Macaca mulatta: one gene and its partners. The main gene of each other region encodes a partner of the protein of the gene in region 3 in a complex. Links are inferred from orthologs where the notes say so. Each region holds a gene or a part of one and is shown on either strand. Other genes may lie near its edges. The genes, in order: POLR1F, POLR1E and POLR1H.

Evidence for each region.
Region 1: POLR1H (region 3) and POLR1F share a complex: the UniProt entries of both Homo sapiens proteins name them as parts of the RNA polymerase I (Pol I) complex. The link is inferred for Macaca mulatta from reciprocal best matches to the Homo sapiens genes POLR1H and POLR1F.
Region 2: POLR1H (region 3) and POLR1E share a complex: the UniProt entries of both Homo sapiens proteins name them as parts of the RNA polymerase I (Pol I) complex. The link is inferred for Macaca mulatta from reciprocal best matches to the Homo sapiens genes POLR1H and POLR1E.

What each region holds. Positions count from the first base shown.
Region 1 is NC_133408.1:108,567,316-108,571,064, forward strand, and holds the start of POLR1F (DNA-directed RNA polymerase I subunit RPA43), read left to right. Parts: upstream 1-1,188; 5' UTR 1,189-1,209; coding exon 1,210-1,463; intron 1,464-3,749. UniProt on the Homo sapiens protein: Component of RNA polymerase I (Pol I), a DNA-dependent RNA polymerase which synthesizes ribosomal RNA precursors using the four ribonucleoside triphosphates as substrates.
Region 2 is NC_133420.1:62,108,669-62,112,317, reverse strand, and holds part of POLR1E (DNA-directed RNA polymerase I subunit RPA49), read left to right. Parts: intron 1-2,363; coding exon 2,364-2,445; intron 2,446-3,210; coding exon 3,211-3,342; intron 3,343-3,649. UniProt on the Homo sapiens protein: Component of RNA polymerase I (Pol I), a DNA-dependent RNA polymerase which synthesizes ribosomal RNA precursors using the four ribonucleoside triphosphates as substrates.
Region 3 is NC_133409.1:152,983,709-152,987,457, reverse strand, and holds the start of POLR1H (DNA-directed RNA polymerase I subunit RPA12), read left to right. Parts: upstream 1-1,117; coding exon 1,118-1,262; intron 1,263-1,508; coding exon 1,509-1,609; intron 1,610-1,816; coding exon 1,817-1,926; intron 1,927-3,749. UniProt on the Homo sapiens protein: Core component of RNA polymerase I (Pol I), a DNA-dependent RNA polymerase which synthesizes ribosomal RNA precursors using the four ribonucleoside triphosphates as substrates. Can mediate Pol I proofreading of the nascent RNA transcript.

The DNA of each region.
Region 1 (3,749 bases), on a different chromosome or scaffold from region 3:
TACTGTAGTGAATAATACAGATATTATGGTCCCCACTTTAGTGAGTGTAGGAATCTATTGACGGAACAGGCAAGCAAATGGCAGTTAATATAAAATTAACATTTAAAAAACATGCATGGGTAACTACCTAATCCTTATAGAGAAAGAGGTGTGGGGTGGTTGAAAACTCTTTGCAAAGGGACAGAATGTAAAATCTAAGCTAAAAATTGATACGTGAGGAGAATTTACCCTTGTGAAAATATTATATTTCCCGGTAGAAGGAACAGCATAAGACTGCAGAAAGAGTGACCTGAAAGTGGATCAAGGGGCATAATATTAGGGTGGGGAGTGTGACAAATGAAGCTGAAGAGAGAGGCTGCGTGCCCACACAGATCACAAAATGGCCTTGTATAAGCATTTTTCAGGAGTTTGTGTTGTCCTAGAGAAAGTGGGGTGCCTATGTAGGGCTTAAACAGGGCACAACACAATCATATGTGTTTCAGGGAAGATCTGGCTGCCCCAGGGCGTCCTCCTGACCATTGAGCTAGGCTTCCACAGGCAGGGAGTCCTGTGGTTTTGTCGGCAGGGAAAGAGAATAGTGTCCAAACAGAATGATATATCCACTTTGGGCAATACAGGCCTTCAGGCTGATTTAATATTTGGGAAAACAAAAGAGGATCCGAGGCTGACAGGTTGGCTGTGGTATAATTCCCTGATTTAGCATGTGCATAATGAGGAGAGAAGTGGGACAGGAGAGAACTAGTAGGTTCGTTTTAAGATATGTTGCATTAGAGTTATCAGGCCTGCTTCTTAGGATTTCGTGTCCTGCATAAAATACACTCCATAAATATTTTGATTTTTTATTGTACAGTCCAAGCTTGTAAAATTCTACCAAACCACCTTACTACTGGAAATGATCAAAGTGAAAACCCCCCTTTTTAAGCTGCCTACTTAATCCAATAAGCTTCTGTACGAAAACACATATTTGCCTGCCCTTAAAAGAGCAGACAGTTGACTTTCCTGCATGCTCAATGCATATCCCAGGCTCTAAGCTCCCGTCCTCGAAGCGCGAAAATACGGTTCCCCCTGCCGGCCAGAGCGGCGTAATACAGCGTAAGGAGGAGAAATTCCTAGGGGCGTGGTAGTTGGTGGATGACGTAAAAAGAGCGTCGGGGACAGGCGATTGTGCTTGCGTCAACGGCGCGCGCCGTGGGAACCTTGACAAGCGGCATGGCTGCGGGTTGTTCAGAGGTGCCGCGGCCAACGGCGGCTTCTGATGGGTCTCTGGTAGGGCAGGCTGGCGTCCTGCCTTGCCTAGAGTTGCCGACTTATGCCGCTGCTTGTGCGCTGGTGAACAGTCGCTACTCATGCCTGGTGGCTGGGCCGCACCAAAGGCACATCGCGCTGTCTCCCCGCTACCTGAACAGGAAACGCACTGGCATTCGAGAACAGCTTGATGCGGAGCTCCTTCGCTATTCTGAGAGGTACCGATCTCTTTGCCTGTTCCTTCTTTTGTGCACGGGAAGTAGCAGCAGGTAGATATGCTGACAACGCAGCAGAAAGGGGGCAAATAGTAAAGGTCGCATTGCCCCCCCAGAGCTTAGCCCCGTGGAATTCTAGAGTCGCGATCCGCCCCTCAAGGCCAGTACCACTGTGGTGAAGATCTTTATAGGGTCCCTTTCATAGATAGAGAAGAAAACTTAAAGATGAAGTTCAGGTGTCGGCGGAAGGAGTGGAGATTCTCGCTCCAGAATCCTGGTGTAGGGGTAGGAACAGACCAGGGGTCTGGAGACCTAGTAGGCCCAGTTCTGTTTGGCATTCAACGTTTCATTTATCCCGTTCCGGATGATGTTTTCTCATTTGACGATAAAAATTTGGTTTGCAGTGCTTAAGTAGATTCTCATTCCATCGAAGATTGCACATGAAGCATTAGTACAACCGTTCTACCTGTAAAACGTGAAGCACGTTTTTTTCTTACTGTATTTCAATCTGGTAATTTCCCCATTTTCTCTTCTTTTGGACCTGAGTTGTTTTTAAGACGATTTATTCAATCGAACTAATGAGCCTGTTGCTTTTGGGAGAGAAAAAAACAAAAGGTATGCATTTATATTACGGTATTCAGAAGTGCCTTGAAAACAGAATTACAGAGGTGTGTGGCGGGGGGCGCGGGCATGTGCTTCAGTATTCCTCTGGACTATACTTTGGTTCAAAAGCGAGGTTCTAATACTAGAGTGAATGGATTCTTTAGGGATTCATGACTGCCCTTCAGGAATTCTTATGTGAAGTTCCTTGGGCACTGTATCGGAAGCTTTTATCACTTTCTTAAGGGATCCTTGACCTCCACACACAGGTTAATAATCAAGCATCTCCAGAATATACAGCTTCTTCCAAGCACCAATATACACTTCTCGTATGTTTATATTATATACCGAACACTTGAGATACAAAAACAAACAAAAAATGAAATCCCTCTTTCAAGGAGCTTTAAGCTGTAGTAGAGATACAAATACAAGCCAATAAATAGTAAGGTGTTAAAATTTGACAGAAATCTAACAAGATAAGGAGTGTTGAATTGGGATCTTGGGACCTCTGAGAACAACTTGAGTGAAGACGGTACTTTCCCATGGTAGCATTCCAGGCAAAGAGTGGCATAAACAAACGGATACTGGATGTGAACCGGTATGCTTTGCCCAGAGAACCGTATCTATTATATAAGTAGAATAAGGTTTATGTCAGGGGAAAGGCATTGGATGCCATTGGAGACGAGGGCAGGGGTGACTCAGAGAGGATGGCCATTTTGCTTTTCCCTTCCTGTCATTGCCAGTTTTTGTTCTTTTGGGGGTAAGGTGGGGTTGTTGTTGTTTTTCCTTTTGTGTTTCTGTTTTCATAGGCAGGGTTAGTGCTTCATCCTCTCAGTACCCTTTAACTCTGAGACTTGGTACACTTTTGAGAACGCAGTACTTATCTGCAGTTCCTGGCATATCAGATTTGCAGTTTAAGAAACAGTACTTGTTAGCCTTACTTAATGGTTAGCTACCAAATAGGATGAGAAAGTGGACAAGGAGAGGAATTAAGATCATGTTATAATTGTTCAAGAGAAAATGATTAGAGAGGATGGATTTGAGAGATTAAAGGATATACAAAGTAGTCATAACATCTGGAAACACAAGCAACCATCCTGTTTTCTGTAACCGTTTTGTATTGCCTGCATTTGACAGGCTAGGGCGGGAAATAACGAAATCTCGCGGAGTGACTCTGAACAGATCTGGCCACCACTCCTTTCATATTACTTGGATATGCTGAAGACCCCTGGTGAAATTATGCACCAGGTGAAAATCAGGCACCACACTTTGAACTATGCATTACTAATGAGGGACAAAACATTGAACATACAGTATTAAAGAACTAAAGTGAGGCTACCATCTTGCCCTGATACCTATTTAGGATGGTATCTGAAAAACAAAAGTGAAGAAGAAAAAGTATATAGTGTTGGGTGCCTGTGTTCACATATCTGATGACTCTTAACAAAATCCCCCTTGAATTTATATATTGCTAAATTCCTGAACAATTTAATATAGATTAAAAATATGCAAAGATGGCTGTGTGTTGATGTTAAGAGTTAAATTAGGTTCCTAGCTATTTGTAAACAGATTTGTCCTTTTATTCAAAAGTCAGAGCTAAGGATATTTCCTCATTGTACCGACTGTCCTGTACATGACAGACTCTTTTCTGCCCTGGCTTGTGCAAAGTTTGTGATAACCATGATTAGT
Region 2 (3,649 bases), on a different chromosome or scaffold from region 3:
CCCTTTTCTCATCTGAAAATTGGGGCCACGTTGGATTATATGAGAGTTCAGGGTCCTTCCAGAGCTAACATTTGCTACTTCTATTCTGCATTAGGCAAGGTAGAATATCCAGGTCAAATAAAATGAAAATTTTAAGGGACTGTTAGAACAAACATCAGCCGTGTGTGTGTGTGTGTGTGTGTGTGTGTGTGTGTGTGGAGAGAGCGCTTATGAGTTACACATATGTATCTTGAAAGCTTGTGGCAGGTTTGTGTTGTGTCAGCTTATTTCTAACAGGAGAGCGTCAATCTGATGGTAACCCAGTGTCACCTGTAGCCAGGACGCTTTGTGGGTCACACCCTCATACCTACCCAGAGTTGGAAACCCAGGAGATGTCTGTGGTTTTAGGCACAAGGCATATTTAGTTGTTACTGTGATTGGGCATCCAATAGTCTATACTCCTATTTTTTAGTATAGTCATGTGTCACTTAATGATGGGGATATGTTCTGAGAAATGTATCCTTAGGCAATTTTGTCATTGTACAAACATCACAGAGTATATTTGCATAAACCTAGATGGTATAGCCTACTACACACCTAGGCTATATGCTATAAGCTGCTGTTCCTAGGCTGCAAACCTATACAGCATGTTACTATGCTGAATATTATAGGCAATTGTAACACAATGGCATTTGTGTATCTAAATGTATCTAAACAGAAAAGGAATAGTAAAACTATGATATTATAATCTTTTGGGACCGGCTGGGCATGTTGGCTCATGCCTATATCTCAGCACTTTGAGAGGCCAAGGTGAGAGGATCACTTCAGGGCAGGAGTTTGAGACCAGCCTGGGCAACATACCAAGACACTGTCTCTACAAAAAAATAAAAATATTAGCTGGGGTGATGCACGCCTGTACTCCCAGCTATTTGGGAGGCTGAGGCAGGAGGAGTGTTTGAGCCTAGGAGTTCAAGGTTACAGTGAGCTATGAATGCACCACTGCCTCAGTGACAGCAAGACCCTGTGTCAAACAAAATCTTACAGGACCATTGTCACATATGTGGCCTGTCATTCACCAAAAGAACGTAATGTGGGACATGACTGTATTTGCTTAGTCATGCTTTTTTTTTTTTTTGAGACAGGATCTCGCTCTGTCACCCAGGCTGGGGTGCAGACCTATGATCTTGACTCAGTACAACCTCCATCTCCTGGGTTCAAGCAGTTCTGCCTCAGCCTCCTGAGTAGCTGGGATTACAGGCGGGCGTCACCATGCCCAGCTAATTTTTGTGTTTTTAGTAGAGACGGGGTTTTTCCATGTTGGCCAGGCTGGTCTTGAACTCCTGACCTCAGGTGATCCACCCTCCTTGGGCTCCCACAGTGCTGGCTGGGATTACAGGTGTGAGCTACCGCACTCAGCTTGTATTTGCTTAGTTCTTTTTTTTTTTTAGATGGCGTCTCGCTCTGTCACCCAGGCTGGAATACAGTGGCTCGATCTTGGCTCCCTGCATCCTCCACCTCCTGGGTTCAAGGGATTCTCCTGCCTCAGCCTCCCAAGTAGCTGGGGTTATAGGTGCCCGCCACCACACCTGGCTAATTTTTGTGTTTTTAGTAGAGACAGGGTTTCACCATGTTGGTCAGGCTGGTCTTGAACTCCTAACCTCATGATCTGCCCGCCTTGGCCTCCCAAAGTGCTGGGATTACAGGCGTGAGCCACCATGCCCAGCCAGTTTTTTTTTGTTTTGTTTCGTTTTGTTTTGTTTTGAGATGGAGTCTCACTCTATCGCCCAGGCTAGAGTGCAGTGGCGCAATCTCGTCTCACTGCAACCTCTGCCTCCCAGGTTCAAGCTGTTGTTCTGCCTCAGCCTCCTGAGTAGCTGGGATTACACCATACTCAGCTAATTTTTGTATTTTTAGTGGAGGTGGGGTTTCACTGTGTTGGCCAGGCTGGTCTTGAACTCCTGACCTCAGGTGTTCTGCCTGCCTCGGTCTCCCAAAGTGTTGGGATTACAGGTGTGAGCCACTGCATCTGGTCACTTAGTTCTTATTTTCACATTCCAATTCCAGCTTTCCCTGTCTCTCCCTGAGCTTTCAGCACAATTTTTGTTTTCTAAGGTCATGTTAAATCTACGTCCTTAGGCCTCCGGCTGTGTTTTCTTGTCACTGCCCCATCACCAGCATCTCTTGTGCAGGGCAAGCTGCAGGCTGAAGCACACCAAGCATGTTTTCATTTCGATGTGGCCGTTCTGCTTTGTGGGCCCTGCTTCTCTTACCACCTGGTTCTGGTCATTACAGTGGCCCAGCTCCTGGCTTTTCTCTCAACTCATGGTGGAGGTGTGGCCTGAGGGTTTTGAGAGAAAATGATCAAACTCAACTTTGTGTTGTAGGTGCCCTGGGACCTGGAGTTCCCCACATCATCAACACCAAACTGCTGAAGCACTTTACCTGTTTGACGTACAACAATGGCAGGTCAGGGGGTGGTTTCTGGGATTTTTCCTGTGCAGGAGAAAGTGAGTGAGGGTTGGGAGTGAGCAGCAGGGGCTTGGACTCAATTCCACGTCCACAGAGATGCAGTGCTGAAGAGACTGCTGCCATTTGGAAGGCTCCTGGGGCCCCAGTAAGTTTAGCAAACGCTAAATATGACATACTCTGTCCTTTTTGGAAAAGTATTACTTTTGGGGAATCTTAGAAGCTCTGGGAAGTCCTCCAATAAAGACTTGTTTTACTTCACATACTTTTGAAGAGCCCTTCCTGATGTCCCACAGAGCTGGTGTTTGCGGAAAGGCAGTGTTGCAGAAAAGGGCAGCCCAACTCGGTGACTCAGGAAAGACCCGCAAGCGTTGCCCCGGGCTTCCTTCCTGCCATTTGCCTGGAGTATGTTTTCTGCTCTAGAGTGTGCTTGGAAGAATCAGCACAGCTGATTTCGGGATGATTGTTTTCCCAGCAGCCCTGCTGAGCAGGCGGGGACAGACTCAGCGCTAGCGGTGTCCAGGGAGAGTGTAGGCCCAGCCTTCTCTGTCTGCCTCAGAGGGAAACATGGACTGGCCCACTGCTCCACTGTGCGTGAGGCCCAGGAACCTTGGAAGGGCAAAGAAGTCACCCACATTCCTTTTCCTTTCCTGAAATTGGGAAGACATTCAGTGCATATGAGAATAGGGTTGAATGTTCTTATTTTGCTTTTGGAGAAATTGAGAGTTTAATTTTGTTTCTCCTTTATTGCCACTGATTTTCTAGATTACGGAACTTAATTTCGGATTCTATGAAGGCGAAGATTACTGCATATGTGATCATACTTGCCTTGCACATACGTGACTTCCAAATTGACCTGACAATGTTACAGGGGGACTTGAAGCTCAATGAGAAAAGGTGAGCACAACAGAATAAAGAGCTCCCTGCAGGGTGCCTTGATGTCTTATTTCTGGTACCACTGGAAAGCATGAGGCACCACCAAGGGAACTGAGGATGTTTAAATGTGGGAACAACTTGGAACTAGAGGACTATTTTCAGTGAATGAATCATTGACTGAATGAGTAACTAGACATTACTGAGTGCCTTCTCTGTGCTAGGCACGGTCTTAAATTATGTCATTATCTCACTGATTTCCCTAGAAAACAATTGAAAAATCAGGCTCAGAAAAGTACATGACTTTCTCAAGGTTACACAACCAAGAGGG
Region 3 (3,749 bases):
TTTATAAAAGATCAGGGAAATGTCAGCTGTCCACTTAATGGATGACGAATAATGAATTAAGAGTTCGATAAGCGGCAGGCACAACTAAAAGCCAAACTCGACCTAAGTCTTATGAAATCCTACTTAATGAGCTTCTTGACTACTGCTAGCCTCACTTATCTGGCAGGAGTCGAAGGAGGGGAAGCCCCAAGCTCTTCTGTTCTACCACCTCCAAAGTCCTGAGCCCCTTCTCAAGTGTCCCACTTCATCCCTGCTTCCTTTCGTCCCGTGGGACTAAGGATTCCTCTGGCCTTCACCCTCACCACTTGCTGTCCCTCAAGAAGCCGACTCACCCCTTTCCAAGCGCGGTGAACCGTCCGCAAAGCACACAGGCCGGCTGCGCTCTGCAGAAAGCCCACGCTCGCCAGCGGGACCCAAGGAACGCTAGAACTATACATGCCAGAACACTTAGCTTTGTTTTTAACTACTGTGCAGCCGCAAAAGGGAAATACCAGCTCAGGACCCAGGGGAGTTGTAGTTCTCTAATCCAAAGAAGTCATTATTCAGCAAAGTACGGTTTTCAGGAGGATATTCCCCCGCGATTGGGTTCCCGTAGGATGTGAAACAGAGAATAAATATCCCAGGATTCGGTGCTGGTGGGAAAATTTGCTGGAAGCGCAGCATTGGTTACCAATTTTGTGCTCAACGTCTCAGTACCAGCCTGAAAGTTGAGCCCCAACCTCCCTTAGAAGTGGTGACTCTCCATCTCTAAGGCTTCCGAGACACGGTACGCAATTAATTATGACGTCACAGCCAATCGTCAGCGTGAAAGCGTGACGCTCTAGCCGGCTCTAGCTCGCTGCCCCGCCGCGGGCGCAGAGCTGGCGCTCTAGCCCACGGAGTTGGCCAGCTCCTCTCGCCGGCCCCAGGAAAGGGTTCCAAGTCCTTTTAGTACCCGACGCTGTCTGGGAGTTCCGGGCGTTTCGGCTCCTTGGTCGCAGAGGCAGGAGGCGTGCGTGGGAGGAGGACTCGGGTTATATACTCCTACGTCCTGGGACGGAATAGTTACCACCTCTGGGGCAGGAACTCTTCTCTCTTTTGTTAATAAACTTCTAACTCCCTCCTCAGACCCGACTGCATGTCTGTCATGGACCTCGCCGGTACTTGCTCCAGCTTTCAGTCGGACTTGGATTTCTGTTCAGATTGCGGCTCGGTCCTGCCTCTGCCCGGGGCTCAGGATACGGTCACCTGTACTCGCTGTGGCTTCAACATCAACGTTCGGGGTGAGAGGCTTGTACACAGGGGTCCTGGCGGAGGGCCCAGGATCGGAAGCTTGGGGAACTCAAGATCGGTTGGGTTGAGAAGGGGATCCTAGAGCAGGACATCAGGCAGTTGTACATTTGGTTCAGCGATGAAAACTGAGGGAAAGGATATAGGGCCTCCTGGCCTAACCAGCCAGGGGAGAGGGGAAGTTTCCGGTGTCAGCTCCCTCAGGTTGTCTCCATAACCCGTCTTACTTGCCTGTGCAGACTTTGAGGGGAAGGTTGTGAAGACTTCAGTTGTGTTCCACCAACTGGGGACAGCCATGCCTATGTCGGTGGAGGAAGGGCCTGAGTGCCAGGGACCTGTGGTAAGTTAATGAGATCAAGAACTGGCTCCATAAGGTGGGTAGGAAAGAAATGGAGGAGTGATTGCAGAGATCTGGAGAGTTTTGTGCCCAATTCCAAGTGGGAAAAGATGTAAAGCATCGATGTTTGAGAGGCGTGATCGCCTGATTCCTGTGGGAAGTAAGGGTATGATATGACCTGGCCTCCATAACCCACCAGTTTCTTCCCAGGTTGACAGGCGCTGCCCTCGATGTGGTCATGAAGGAATGGCATACCACACCAGACAGATGCGTTCAGCCGATGAAGGGCAAACTGTCTTCTACACCTGTACCAACTGCAAGTGGGTATCCTTTCCCCTCCCTTTGCTCAGTCTGTTTGCTAACTAATAAACAAATCCAGTGATTTATTTTTTTGTACTAAACGGCTGTGTCCTTTCGTCCCATCCCTTATTTCTGTGCAGTTCTGGTAAGAGGGAGATTTGTAGTTTTTATTTTTTTAAATTACACTTTTTTAACCCTTTTTGTAACCAGTGAAATAAACCTTTTAGGTTTTTTTTTTTTTTTACGGACAGGGTGTTGCTCTGTCACCTAGCCTGGAGTGCAGTGAGGCAATCTTGGCTCACTGCAACCTCCGCCTCCTGGGCTCAGGTAATCCTCCCACCTCAGCCTCCAAAATAGCTTTGGGACCACAGGCACGTGCCACCACACCTGGCTTTTTGTTTTGTTTTGTTTTTTGTATTTTTAGTAGAGATAGGGTTTCTCTCTGTTTCCCAGGCTGGTCTTGAACTCCTGAGCTCAATCAACCCACCTCAGCATCCCAAAGTGCTGGGGATTACAGGCATGAGCCACCCTGCCTGACCTTCTTTTAGGATATTTAAAAGGAAATGAATAAAAAAAACCAGAAGAAGCAAGTATTGTTTAGTGGTCAGCGTCTTATACTGCAGTCTTCAACCGCAGTCAAGGTAGCTTTACTTTGGAGAGAATTAGTCACACATGATTTAGAGAACATGGGCTTTCTGAATGCTTTTAAGACCTCATCTTTGTCTTTGGTGTTCTGCAGTCACTATAGTATATCAAAATGTGATTTTCTTTTATTCTGTTTGGGATTTGTTGGACTTTCTGAAACTGAGAGTGCATTGTTGTTTTTTGTTTTTTTTTTTGAAACGGAGTCTCGCTCTGTCTCCCAGGCTGGAGTGCAGTGGTGTGTTCTCCGCTCACTGCAAGCTCCGCCTCCCGGGTTCATGCCATTCTCCTGCCTCAGCCTCCTGAATAGCTGGGACTACAGGTGCCCGCCACCACGCCCGGCTAATTTTTTGTGTTTTTTAGTAGAGACAAGATTTCACTGTGTTAGCCAGGATGATCTCGATCTCCTGACCTTGTGATCCACCCGCCTCGGCCTCCCCAAGTGCTGGGATTACAGGTGTGAGCCACTGCGCCTGGCCTAGAGTGGATTTTTTTTTTCATCAACCTTGGAAAATTATCAGCCATCATCTCTTTTAATATTCTCTTTCCCCCATGTTCTCAGTCCTCACATTCTGGACCTCTAATTAGTTACTAGAATGAGATTTCTCTCTTCTGTCCTCCATTTCTCTCGCCTTCTTTTCATATTTTCAATCGCTTTTCTCTTTATGCCACCTTCTGAGTAATTTCTTCAGGTTCCTCTTCCATGTCACTAATTCTGTCTTCAGTTTATTTCAAGTATTATTATTTTTTACTATTGTTATTATTTTGAGTTCTATTTAATTACTTTTCAAATCTCAATTTTTAAATAATTCTCAGTTCCTTAATAATATTTTAAATTGTTCCTTTTACTAGTCTTTATATATTTAAAATATTAAATGTGGTTATTATATTCTATGTCTCATAATTCTGATATCCGTGGATTTTGTGTGTCTGATGCTGCTGTCTGTTTCTGCTGTCTCTCTCATAGTGCTTTTTTCTTTGTTTTGTAATTTTTGACAATAAATTTGAGTTTTTTAGAACTTGAACTGTAGGAATTCTCTGAGGCCTTGGGTAAGTGTTGTATTCTCAGCATTTGTGTTTCTTTTCTAGGTGCCTTGAAGCACTATCAAGCTGGAATTACTTTAAATAAATTCTTGGCTTCATGTTTTTTGGAGCAGACAGATAGTATGAATTTGAGCTGCAAATCCATGTAAGGGCTAGC